2 linked regions of the Xenopus tropicalis genome follow. The protein of the gene in region 1 interacts with the protein of each later gene in a pairwise test. Links are inferred from orthologs where the notes say so. Each region holds a gene or a part of one and is shown in the gene's direction. Other genes may lie near its edges.

Region 1 (5,603 bases):
AAAGAAAGAAAGCATGCTAGTTAAAATCCTAGAATGTACTGTTTCTACATAGGGTCTGTTTAAAAATGATGCTTAAGAACAAGCCTTAATGTTGAGGTGTATAATGAGGTAAAAGGCCTCTAACACCAGCAAAAATATAGATTCCTCTCGAGGCAACTTGCGCGATTTCAGTGAATGTATGCCATCCCCCGGCGATTTACATTTTCGCCGGTGGGATGGCAATCCAGGGAGATTAGTCGCCTGCAAACAGGGAGTTTTGTCGCGGGCGATTAATCTCCCCGTGTGCCAGAGCCCTAAAGAGAAAGTCTAAGCTAGGGATCCCTCCCAGAGATGGATAAACACTTAAAAAATGTGTGCATAAAGACACTGATTGTATTTAACTATGCTCTTTATCTGTTATGTTATGTTTACCTGCTGTGTCATTAATTACCAATCTGTTTAAAACACTTTTTGTCACCCATCATTTTGTGTAGAGATAAGTACCAATCTTCTGAAGTAGTATTTGGCCAAAATTTGAATTGTAGTCCTTACTCATATTCTTGGCAAGGGCATGCACAAATTAGAGAAATAATATCTTCATTTTTACTATTTTCAATGTTGGTGTAACTAAACCTTTTACATGCATCCTGCACCCTACCTCCTCTTTGTGCTGTTTCTTGTGCAGTACAGTCACCTGAATCAGGAAGAGTAGAGTGAAGTGGAATTTTACACATTAATAGCTACTAAAAATACACCAGTCTATTACATTTCTTACATTAAATCAAAAATAGAAACTCATCAAGCTTTAAATCACCATGATAAAATGTCATTTACCATCTGTTTGCACACACCTGCTATTTTCTTGTTTCTTTTATGTTATATGTAGGTCTCTTTTTATGGGCAAGTTTAAGGGAAATATCTTTTAAAAAAAGTAATATGTGTAAGATTATCGTTGGGATTCATTAAATGTAAATGTATGTTATAGTACAATGTATAGTTAAAGAATAATATTAAGAAAAGTATTATTTCTAGTTGATGCTACTCCCATCCCACTGCACACACAGCAAGGTGCCATCAAGATGCCAAGTACCTTAGAGTCATGACAAGGGAGTCCTGCTGTTCTCCTTTAATGGTGGTTCTGTGCTTTCTTGTTTGGCAGTATATCCAATTCTGGACAAATATAGAACAAATCTAAATCTCAAAAAAGATAGGCAATTCAAAAAGTATGATACTTCATTGAAGGAACATTTTTATCAGCAAACAATGTTTTATCAGAGTAGCTTGCGGTCTGCCTTTTCTTTACCCAGTTTTTTTTTTACAGGATCATCACCCAGGCCACTATATGGAGCCCATCTAGCTAATATAAAATAAAAGGATTGAATTAAGTATACAGAGGGCTGTACAAAGTGACCAGTATATGTTCAGTTGGTGGGGGTGGCATCTGTTCCATTGGTGCATTACAGTAGGTGTATGTAAAGGGTAACAGATAAATTGCCCCAAACAAAATGCCTTAAAATAGAAGTGTTTTTATTTTGTTGCCGAGAATTGATTATGAGTGTTACAATATACCTGTATATGTAATATACATATATATATATATTCAACCTGTATATGTTGTAATAAACTTGTGTACATCAGTCGTGTGAAGTCCTGTCATATGGACATATGTATCTGTAATGTATTATGGAAAAGAAAGTCCTGCTGCTTACAACAAAAGGCATACTTATTCCTGTAGGTATCAATTTTAAAGGAATAGCTATCTTGTATTGTCTATGTGCTGTACAACTGAAAGTGTAGCTGTCTGCTTTATTGTTTGTGTGGCTTTACTACAGAAGGAAAGAACTGACTCTAACAGGTGGAATTATTTCCTGGAATCCTAGAGGAAACATAGATAAAATGCATAGAGAAATAATGGCCCACCAGGTTTATGCTTGCACAACAAAGGGAATATTGGGATTTCTGGGGACTCATTTGAGTGACAAGATAATCTCTTGCACTCGGCAAACCAAGATTTTAGTTTATTATTCAATATAATACCTTATGTTAGTTTAGTAGCTATGTATGTGTAGCCCCATTAAGGACCAATTTATTACCAGTCAGTAGCGACAAGTAGCTGACTACAAGTAGTTCCCTGTGTCATTGCCCTAATCGTCCACGCAGATGTACATCATCACACCAGGCCCCCAGGAGTCACCAACAACCAGGTTGCTATCAACATATACCATATACAACAGTGATCCCCAACCAGTGGTTCGTGAGCAACATGTTGCTTAACAACCCCTAGGTGCTTGTTTTTGAATTTCTGGCTTGGAGGCAATAGTTGGTTGCATAAAACCCAGTGTAAAGCCAAACAGAACCTCTTATAGGCTCTAATTCCACATAGGGGCTACCAAATAGCCAATTATAGCTCTTATTGGCACCCCCAGGAACTTTTTTCATGCTTGTGTTGCTCCCCAACACATTTTCCATTTGAATGTGGCTCACGGGTATAAAAGATTGGGGATCCCTGCTACAACATATCTCCTGAAAATGGAAATGGGCTGAATTCACCACGAGTCATTCTGTTTGATTACCTACTTACTTTATTACTTACCGTATTTACATTTGTGTCCCTTTTTCAATATTATAAGCACTTACATATATCTGGAAAATGCGACAAAAAACAGCACATGGGCTAGTGAACCCTTAAACAGATGGCAGTGTTTTCTCAGAATGACTCCATGTTATTATGTTTGCCTGTGGGCCAATACTCAGCCCAGTTCTTGTTTTCTATGCATTCCTTCCATTCTTTGTTGCTGTATACGTAGCTTCCGGATACCGTAGCACATAACAAGTGCTATTCACAGTTTTCTGTGTGCATATTTAAGTGATGTTTTCTTGCGGTTGTAGGTTCTTTTACATGTTTAAATTTCTGTGATGTGTTTTCGATTGATCGTGTATATTCTGGACTTCTAGTCATAGTATGGTTTATGGCTGTTCTTGGTTTTGTTGGTTTCCTGCAATAAGTTAACTCATGGAATGCTGTGATATTTTTGCTTTTATATTTCTGTTCAGTGTGCTATCCATTATCATGAGCAAAATGCTTACTCCTTCTGTTAAAGAAGTTCCCATCTTCTTTTGCAAAGTGCCTAAGCCAGCAATGTTGTGTCTTCTTAATATGGCACAGGGAACCTGTGGTAAATACATTCAGCCAGAACTGATATGAAAATCCAGACTTTTTGCACAACCCTCCTTTGGTCAGTTCTACATATATATTTTCCAAATATCCACACATCCTACAGCCTAAATATATATAGGCTATAATATATAGTAACTGAATAAGCTGTTATACACCATGTTATTTTTTTTAATAGTAAAGGTGGCCACTTTGGCTCTTTCAGACTGAGTTGGCAGCTAACTGCTTCCTCCTCAGCTTTTTGGCGGTAGTGATGGATGGGGATAAATCTAAGTAGCTCTGCTTTACAGTTCATTTTCTTTATGTAACAAAGACATTTATTTCACCTGAGAGCACAAACAGTAAAGAAGGGAAATAATAATACAGAGCCCACTGTCCATGGGTGTATTCACTATGGTACTATATTTGGTTAACAGAGCCCAAGTACAAAAAGATTTAATGCTTAATAGAGGTGATACATAAAGGTAGCACAGTTTGTACCAGGTCTAGCAAACCAACGTAACCAATTAGATGTTTGCTACATAAATGTGACCTTCTGATTGTTTATTAAGGAGCTACTATACTTGGGCCCAGCTTGGCAACTTTTATTTCATTGACCCCCAGGAACACAGTTTAAATTAGTCTATATAGAGAGATTTTGTGAAGATATGAGCAGAACACATTTACAGCACAGACTTCTTTTTTTGGGCTTCAGCTGAATGTGTGCGTATATTGCTCCTTTATTCTCTGTAGGGGTGACAGCTTTTCCTGCTATGCTGGGGTAGTTCATATGTGTCAGCTTGTCATGTTTGTGTCACTTGTCAGTTCTGACATCAGGGTTTTGTATTACACAGTTCCCTTACAGCCCACTGCTATGTCTTTGTGCTGTGATGCTGCCATATTTCTATTTGTGTGTGAACCTACACACATTCCTTTATATTGTCTCTACCCAGGTCCTTTTCGCAGAATGTCAGCTACACTTGCAGCTCGACTGCAAGTCAACTCCATTCCCAGTCCACTTGAATTCCTTCAGCATGCAGAACAGGAATCTTGTGGCTCTCCAGGTAATGGCTCATTTGCCTCTTGTTTTTAGATTAGTGTTGTTCACATATTGTATAGACTGGGCTGCTTGGCTGAGGTTTGCCGAGAGGATTATATGGCAATAATGGTGTGACACTGAGACGTCTGTGTAAGCCCTTGAGAATGCTGAAAGGGGGTGGATAAAATGCCTTAGTGGGTCACATAAGGCCAAGGCCTTAAATTATAGTTGTTTTGATGGGGATAGAAAATTTACTACAGATGCATTGCTGGCTGGTATTATGGAGTGTATTATTATGTAACTTACTATATATATAGTATACATAATTTCCAGAGCATGATCTCTTAGAAACCCTAAATGATCAGTCTTTAGGGCGTATAGATACAATCATTTATAGAGGAATGAGGACGATGAACAAGAAATAAATGCTTTTATTCTATTTTCTAAAGCTGACTGTACATGGGCCAATGTTTACATAGTAATGAACAAATCTGCAAAAAATTAGCAAAACATTGAAAAATTTGTAAACATTTTTTTTACTGCATTTTTTTCTGTTCAAAATGTAAGTTAATTCCAATTTTTTTTGAGCGAAAAATGGGTGGTTTTCTCTGCATTTTTGTCACATAGAATGCATTGAAGTGCTTACCAGTAGCTTTTCTCCCATTGATCTTCCCTGTGATATTATTCCAAAATCAAATTCCCCGCTGACTTTCCCTGCTTGTTGATTTAAATTACAGACCTCATAATCAGGCAGAACGTAGACCCGCAGCTTTCCTTTACAAAATGTAGTTCCCCCACTCGTTGATTTAAACTCCTGAATAAATGCAGACCCACAGCTCCCCATGCCCCCCCCTGACTTCCCCCCACTCATTGGATTAAATGGGGGCCTACATACGTTACCGAAGTAATGTTATTCCAAGCTCCCTGCTTTGTTCGCAAGACACAGTTTTGCGCAGGATTTCTAAGAGGTACAGCGGCAAATCTAAGACAGCTTTTCAGGAGAGGGGGTAGTTACCAACTTTTTGAGAGGTTTTTGTAATCCAGACTTTCAGTTTTTTTCAGCCCAACTGGAAATGAATTGAAATGCCAGTGTGAGCCAGGCCTGATCCCCTCATTTGTGTCCAACATTGTAGTTTTTCCAGAAGAGTAGGGGGTAAAGGCTGTTTTAGCAAAGGAAGGACCAGCCTTATATTAAAACCCTTCCTTTGGGGAATGAGATGTTGGACAAGGAGATACAGAGAGTGTATATAACAGATTTAATGGCATTTTAAAGGAAAAGTCAATGCTAAATAACTGCAGCCTTGTTCTTTAAGATAGTCTAAAGCAAAATGTAATGACTTTTACAGAACAAATTCATAAAAATCCATAGAAATATTAAGCGAAATTCTGGATGCTACAACAATATCCACCAGTTAATTGCTGAATGCCCTT
Region 2 (5,603 bases), about 26 Mb from region 1:
CGCAAGGCGACTAATCTCCCTGTGTGTGACAGCCCTTAGCCTAAAAAACAAATAAAACCAATAATTATCAAGATATAAATTAATTCCATTAATTTAGAAACAGAGTGCTGACCTGGAGGTAAATGATGGGGAGGCATAATGCTGTTGGGTGATATTCAGTAAGAATATTTTTCTTCCCCCACCCCCCTTGTTACACTGCAAGTCTGTGAGGGTTTGTTTCATGTGATTTGGTGCAGCATGTTTGGAATACTTAAAAGCACCCCAGAACTTCCTGTGCAACTACAATAGCAATTTCTGTTTTAGAAAGGTTCAGAGGCTCAGAGAATGTAACTTCACAGGGAAATATGTTTGGCTATTAAAGGGGTTGTTCACCTTAACATTCCCTTTTAGTATGACATAGAGAGTTATATTCTGAAGCAAATTACAATTGGCCTTTCATTTGTGTTTTTTTAACTATTTAACTTATTCAACTCTCCAGTTTGGAATTTCATCACCTGTCTGGTTGCTAGGGTCTAAATTACCCTAACAACCTGGCAGTGGTTTGAACAAGAGACTAGAAAATAATTAGAATGGGACCTGAATAGAAAGTAAGAAAAATTAAGAATAAGAAAAGTTTTTGGATCAGTGACCCCCATTTGTCAGCTAGAAAGTCAGAAGAAAAAGGCAAATAATTCAAAAACTATAGAAAATAAAAAATAAGTTGAAAAGTTTCTAAGAATTGGCCATTTTATAACATATTAAAAGTTAACTTAAAGGTGAACTACCCCATTAAAGTTTGGACATGGTATTAGAAGGAAATCAATTTACCCAACACGTTTCTGCACTCATCTGGCTCTTGTTATAGGTTGTTATAAACTGCCCACTGGTGAGAGGTCTAAAGTACAATCAAGCCACCCCCAACTTCCATCAATGGAGGGACAGCCGTCAGGTGTGGGGTCTGAACTTTGCCAATAAAGAAGAAGCAGGGCAGTTTGCTGTAGGAATCACACAGGCCCTGGATGCACTGGAAACTGGTAAGATAAAGAAACATACAGCCATTTGATATTAAACTACTCTTCCCATGATCTCCACGCAAGATCTTGGATATTTAAAGTTTAGCTAAAGTTTTCAGTGGAATGGTTTGTTACCCTCTCGGCTTAAATGGCAATGTACTCCATTTCAGGTCAATTTCAGTTCCAACAAATAGGACTTCTGTTCTGGGTAAAAAGGGAAAATCAAGTTACTCCATGTTTGGTCCTTACTAAGTAGATTACCTTTGAGTGCATAGATAAATCCCTGCATAAATCCTGAAAATCCACTTATGTACCTTACAAGGGCCAAACATGAAGTTCAATTTCCCTTCTAAGGCCAGTGCCATACGGTGCTGATTCTTGGCCTGTGTCTATGCTGGCATCAGCCTACTACCTTACCTGCATCTGCAAGCATTGTCTCCGCCGGGGGGCAGGCAGACGGTGTGGATATCACCCAAAAGATACAGGAATTCACATTTACAGCTATCTGCAATGTCTGGCTGCATTTGGACAGAGAAAATGCTTTCGGGTACAGGCAAGGTAGCAGGGTGGTGCCAGGGTGTTCTGCAGGCTGAGAATCAGTCCCATGTGGCACTAGCCCTCTAATAAGAAGTCCAGGCTCACTTCTGTCAGTTTGTGAGTTTAAAGATGATGCACTATTGCAGCCTTAGGACACTAAAACATAGAATTACAAGCAGTGGCAATAAAAAGAAAATGCCTTCTGTTCTGTGTGGATTGCTGCCATCTGATATTAATCATTAAGGCAACCCTTTTGTTTTAGGAGTAAGAGCTGACTAAAGCTGTCCGTACAAGTGGCGATCTGACGATGTTTCGTGCGACCATCGGTCACACGAAACATCGTCAGATCCGCCACACACCGTCAGGGCTGAAACAGCAGATAAGGAGGTAGAAACAATAGGATTTCTACCTCCTTCTGTCGATTCAGCCCTGACGGCAGATTTTGGTCAGGCGCCTTCTATGGCGCCCGATCAAAATTTTCTAACCTGGCCAATCGGCGAGTCGACCGATATCAGCAGCCTCCTGCGATATCGGTCGACTCGCCGACATGCCATACACGCACCGAATATCGTACGAAACGAGGTTTCGTACGATAGTATCGGTGCGTGTATGGCCAGCTTTAGTATGTGCCCTTTATGTGATCGAATCACATAAGGCAGCCATACGTACACAAATATTTATAACATTTTTTACTTTCCACTTTCCACCTGACATTGTAATTATATATACATGGGTGGCCTATGGACTGATCTGCTGGATCTTTGGCATTTTACATTACATTTGTGTTGTCACTGCAAAAAAATCCAGTTGACTGTCACACAATATGACCTTTTAAAAATCCAGTAACTGACCTTGTTTTTGCAGAAATCAACTTTTGAACTTATGTGAAATTGCATAGACTGAGTTCTAGGGTTTAGAGCACTGCAATGGCTAAAGAAGAGCTGCTATTTAAAGCAATTTTATCATAGTTATATGTATGTATGTATGTATGTATATATTTTATTTATGTGTATATACAGGTATGAGATGCATTATCCGGAAACCTGTTATCCAGAAAGTTTCAAATTATGGAAAGGCCATCTCCCATAGACTCAATTATAAGCAGATAATTTTGATTTTTAAAAATGATTTGCACCTTGATCCCAGCTAAGGTATAATTAATCCTTATTGGAGACAAAACAATCATAAATAAATATACAATCATAATAAATAATTTTCCTGGGGACTTAAGGCTTGGAGATCCAAAGTACGGAAAGACCCCTATTCAGAAAACCCCAGGTCCCGAGTATTCTGGATAAGTGGTGCCATAACTGTATTAGTAAATATTTATTATTAGCATATATTTCATTTTCCTCTCTTTCTGCCTCCTCTCTGATTCCTCTCAGACATGTGTCTTTTCATATTGCTTCAGCTTCTCTTAATTTCTAAATAACAGGTGCCAGTACGCGGATTCCTCAAAATGGCCCAAAAGTTGAAGAGCCTGAGCAACCCAGAAGGTAAGCTAAGGCTGCACAGTTCTTTTTTTATATTACAGATCCTGCATATTTTTCATTATGACCTGACACTATCTATCTATAGGCCATAAATCTCATGTGTACATTGGGGCTAACTGGGTAAATTGTTTTGTTATTGTGCCTAAGACCATGTAGTCTGTAGCAGGGAAGCTGCTATTACTGTTTCCTTGAATAGGTTTTAATGTGTTTTGGATCAGTAGGATTTATATAAATCATGTTAACAGTAATAAATAAATACCTCCATGGTTCAAAGTATTATTATTATAGGATCTAGTTTGATGGGAGAGCTGCAGACACAATCCTGAGTCTTATCTACTTGTTGCCCTTGTCACCGAAGAAGGGTAACCAGGGCTAATAAAAAGCCATTGATTAATGCTATTGGGAAAAATGTAAAAAAAAATGTTAGAATACAGCTCTGCTACAAGCCACCTCTGCAGCTGCAAATTATTAAAGGGGACCTGTCACCCTAAGAAATAATTCCAAATTCTTTTCTACCGGGTAAGTCAAGCATAATAAACTTCACTTACACTATATAGCAAGCAGGCAGGTGCCATTTTGTTAGTAAGGAAAGCATTGCATCATGCCAAAATCCAAAAAGTAAAAGATATAATTCCTAGAGAGAAGTAGCCAACATTGCTTATATTCCTCTTTCTTGCAGACCTTTTCTTTTTAAACATGTGACAATCCGTGCCAGATTTCTTATTCGGACGCCCCAAGGCCGCCCCCATTCTTCGCCCATACCTCCACCCCCCCCGTTGCTAGCGCACACATTTAACTTTACATACGGAGCACTGGGGAGAGGTCCCCATTGCTCCGTATGGGAGCTAAATTTCAAAGATTAGGTGTGGCGGGGCGGTGTGCTGCCCCTATATCTGTGCCGCCATAGGCCCAGGCCTTTGTAGCCTCGCCACAAATCTGGGTCAGGTGACAATAAAGAAAGGCCTGGATTTTTCTCCAGCCAGAGTCTGTTTGCAAAACTAGCATTTAAGACATGAAAGCATATTGTATTACTTTGTGCCCAAGATGCATTTGCTCACTTTATTACCAAAATTATGTTTATCTGTAGACAAGAGAAATAAGAAAGGTTGTTAAACAGCAACTGAACAGTGGATGATGATTAGGCCAATGGCAACAATTAAAAAAATGGCAATGGAAAAATATGAAAATACACCTTTAAATATTTCTTATAGACAAATAAAAAACTAAGGCATAGCAGCTTTTAAAAGTGTCGTTCATGTTAAAATAAATGTTACTTCCATGATGTAGACTGTAATATTCTATTACAATTTGCAGTTGGCTTTTTTAAATGACTAGTGTGTTGTTCAGTAGCTCTCCAGTTTGGCACTTCAACAGATATCTGGTTGCTAGAAATTGTTGTGGGCTGCTGGGTCAGTGTCCCCCATGTAAAAGCTGGAAACAAGCAGAAGAGAAAGCCACATAATTAAAAGAAATGATTTTCCTCAACAAACCTAAATGTGAACTACCCCTTTAAGTATTAAAAGATTAGAGCTTTGAGCTGCTCTTGAAGTACAGGGTAAAACACTTTGTAATTCACTTGCTTTCAGATATCCTTTATATATTTCCTCTACTTTCAGGGTGCAACAGGAAATTGAGCAGAGGATTCAGAGCCCAGGTAAGGGAAATAGGGGCCGTTCGGCTTTATAGCTTGTATATTTCCCTTTTGCTGTGGGTCCCAGGGCAGAACCTTTATTGTGGCAAAAGATACCATTGCAGAAGTGGGAAATGTGTGGGTGTATATGTTTTTAACAGATTGTTGAGGTATTGAGCTATCTGCACATTAAAAGGCCAACTTTGGGATTTACAGATAGTAGTTATTGTTAGAGTATAAACAATTATTATACTATATACCATTATAATTAGTTTTTAAATGATTGCCCTGCTGAGAGTATCTTCTTCTCTTTACACTCTTCCAGTTGCCCCGGTCATGCCAACTCCTGCTCCTGCTGCTCCCCCTGCACCACCTGGCCCACCTCCTCCCCCAGGTCCACCACCACCACCAGGGGGCCCCCCAGGGGGCCCACCAGCTCCTCCAGCTCCCACTGGAGGTGGTCCCCCACCCCCACCCCCACTTCCATCTGGGGGTGGAGGAGGCTCAAGTGGAGTTTCTGGGGGGCTGGCGGCAGCCCTTGCAACAGCAAAATTGCGGAAAGTGGCCAAGGTGAGAATCAAAGGTTTGACAAGCATTGTATGGGAAGTTTAGAGGAAAATCTATATAGCTATATCTATATACCATATGAGTGAAGTACCATATGATGGGAGTACATATACTAGATGGTAGAAAACATGGAACACTAGGAAGCAAGATAAAATGATAACAATTATAATTGATTAATGTATGTCTGGGGTGAAAGGACAGTCATTTTTATGGACCATACTAGTTTTTTTTTTTTTTTAATTTGTTTTTTAGAATGATGATGCTGGTGGTGGAGGATCCTCTCCCGTTGGTGGAGCACCTGCCAAGCCTGACATAAGTCGCACAAGTGGTGGGGCAGCAACAGGAGGGGGTGGTGGAGGAGGACTGATGGAAGAGATGAATGCA

What was found. The genes of interacting proteins can lie anywhere in the genome.
Region 2: the proteins of trim9 (region 1) and vasp interact in binary tests that used the Homo sapiens proteins (3 or more experiments, as listed by UniProt). The two-hybrid records come from large-scale screens. The link is inferred for Xenopus tropicalis from reciprocal best matches to the Homo sapiens genes TRIM9 and VASP.

What each region holds. Positions count from the first base shown.
Region 1 is NC_030684.2:96,141,527-96,147,129, forward strand, and holds part of trim9 (E3 ubiquitin-protein ligase TRIM9), read left to right. Parts: intron 1-4,086; coding exon 4,087-4,197; intron 4,198-5,603. UniProt on the Homo sapiens protein: E3 ubiquitin-protein ligase which ubiquitinates itself in cooperation with an E2 enzyme UBE2D2/UBC4 and serves as a targeting signal for proteasomal degradation.
Region 2 is NC_030684.2:70,568,945-70,574,547, reverse strand, and holds part of vasp (vasodilator-stimulated phosphoprotein), read left to right. Parts: intron 1-844; coding exon 845-1,013; intron 1,014-2,964; coding exon 2,965-3,025; intron 3,026-4,638; coding exon 4,639-4,676; intron 4,677-4,977; coding exon 4,978-5,222; intron 5,223-5,471; coding exon 5,472-5,603. UniProt on the Homo sapiens protein: Ena/VASP proteins are actin-associated proteins involved in a range of processes dependent on cytoskeleton remodeling and cell polarity such as axon guidance, lamellipodial and filopodial dynamics, platelet activation and cell migration.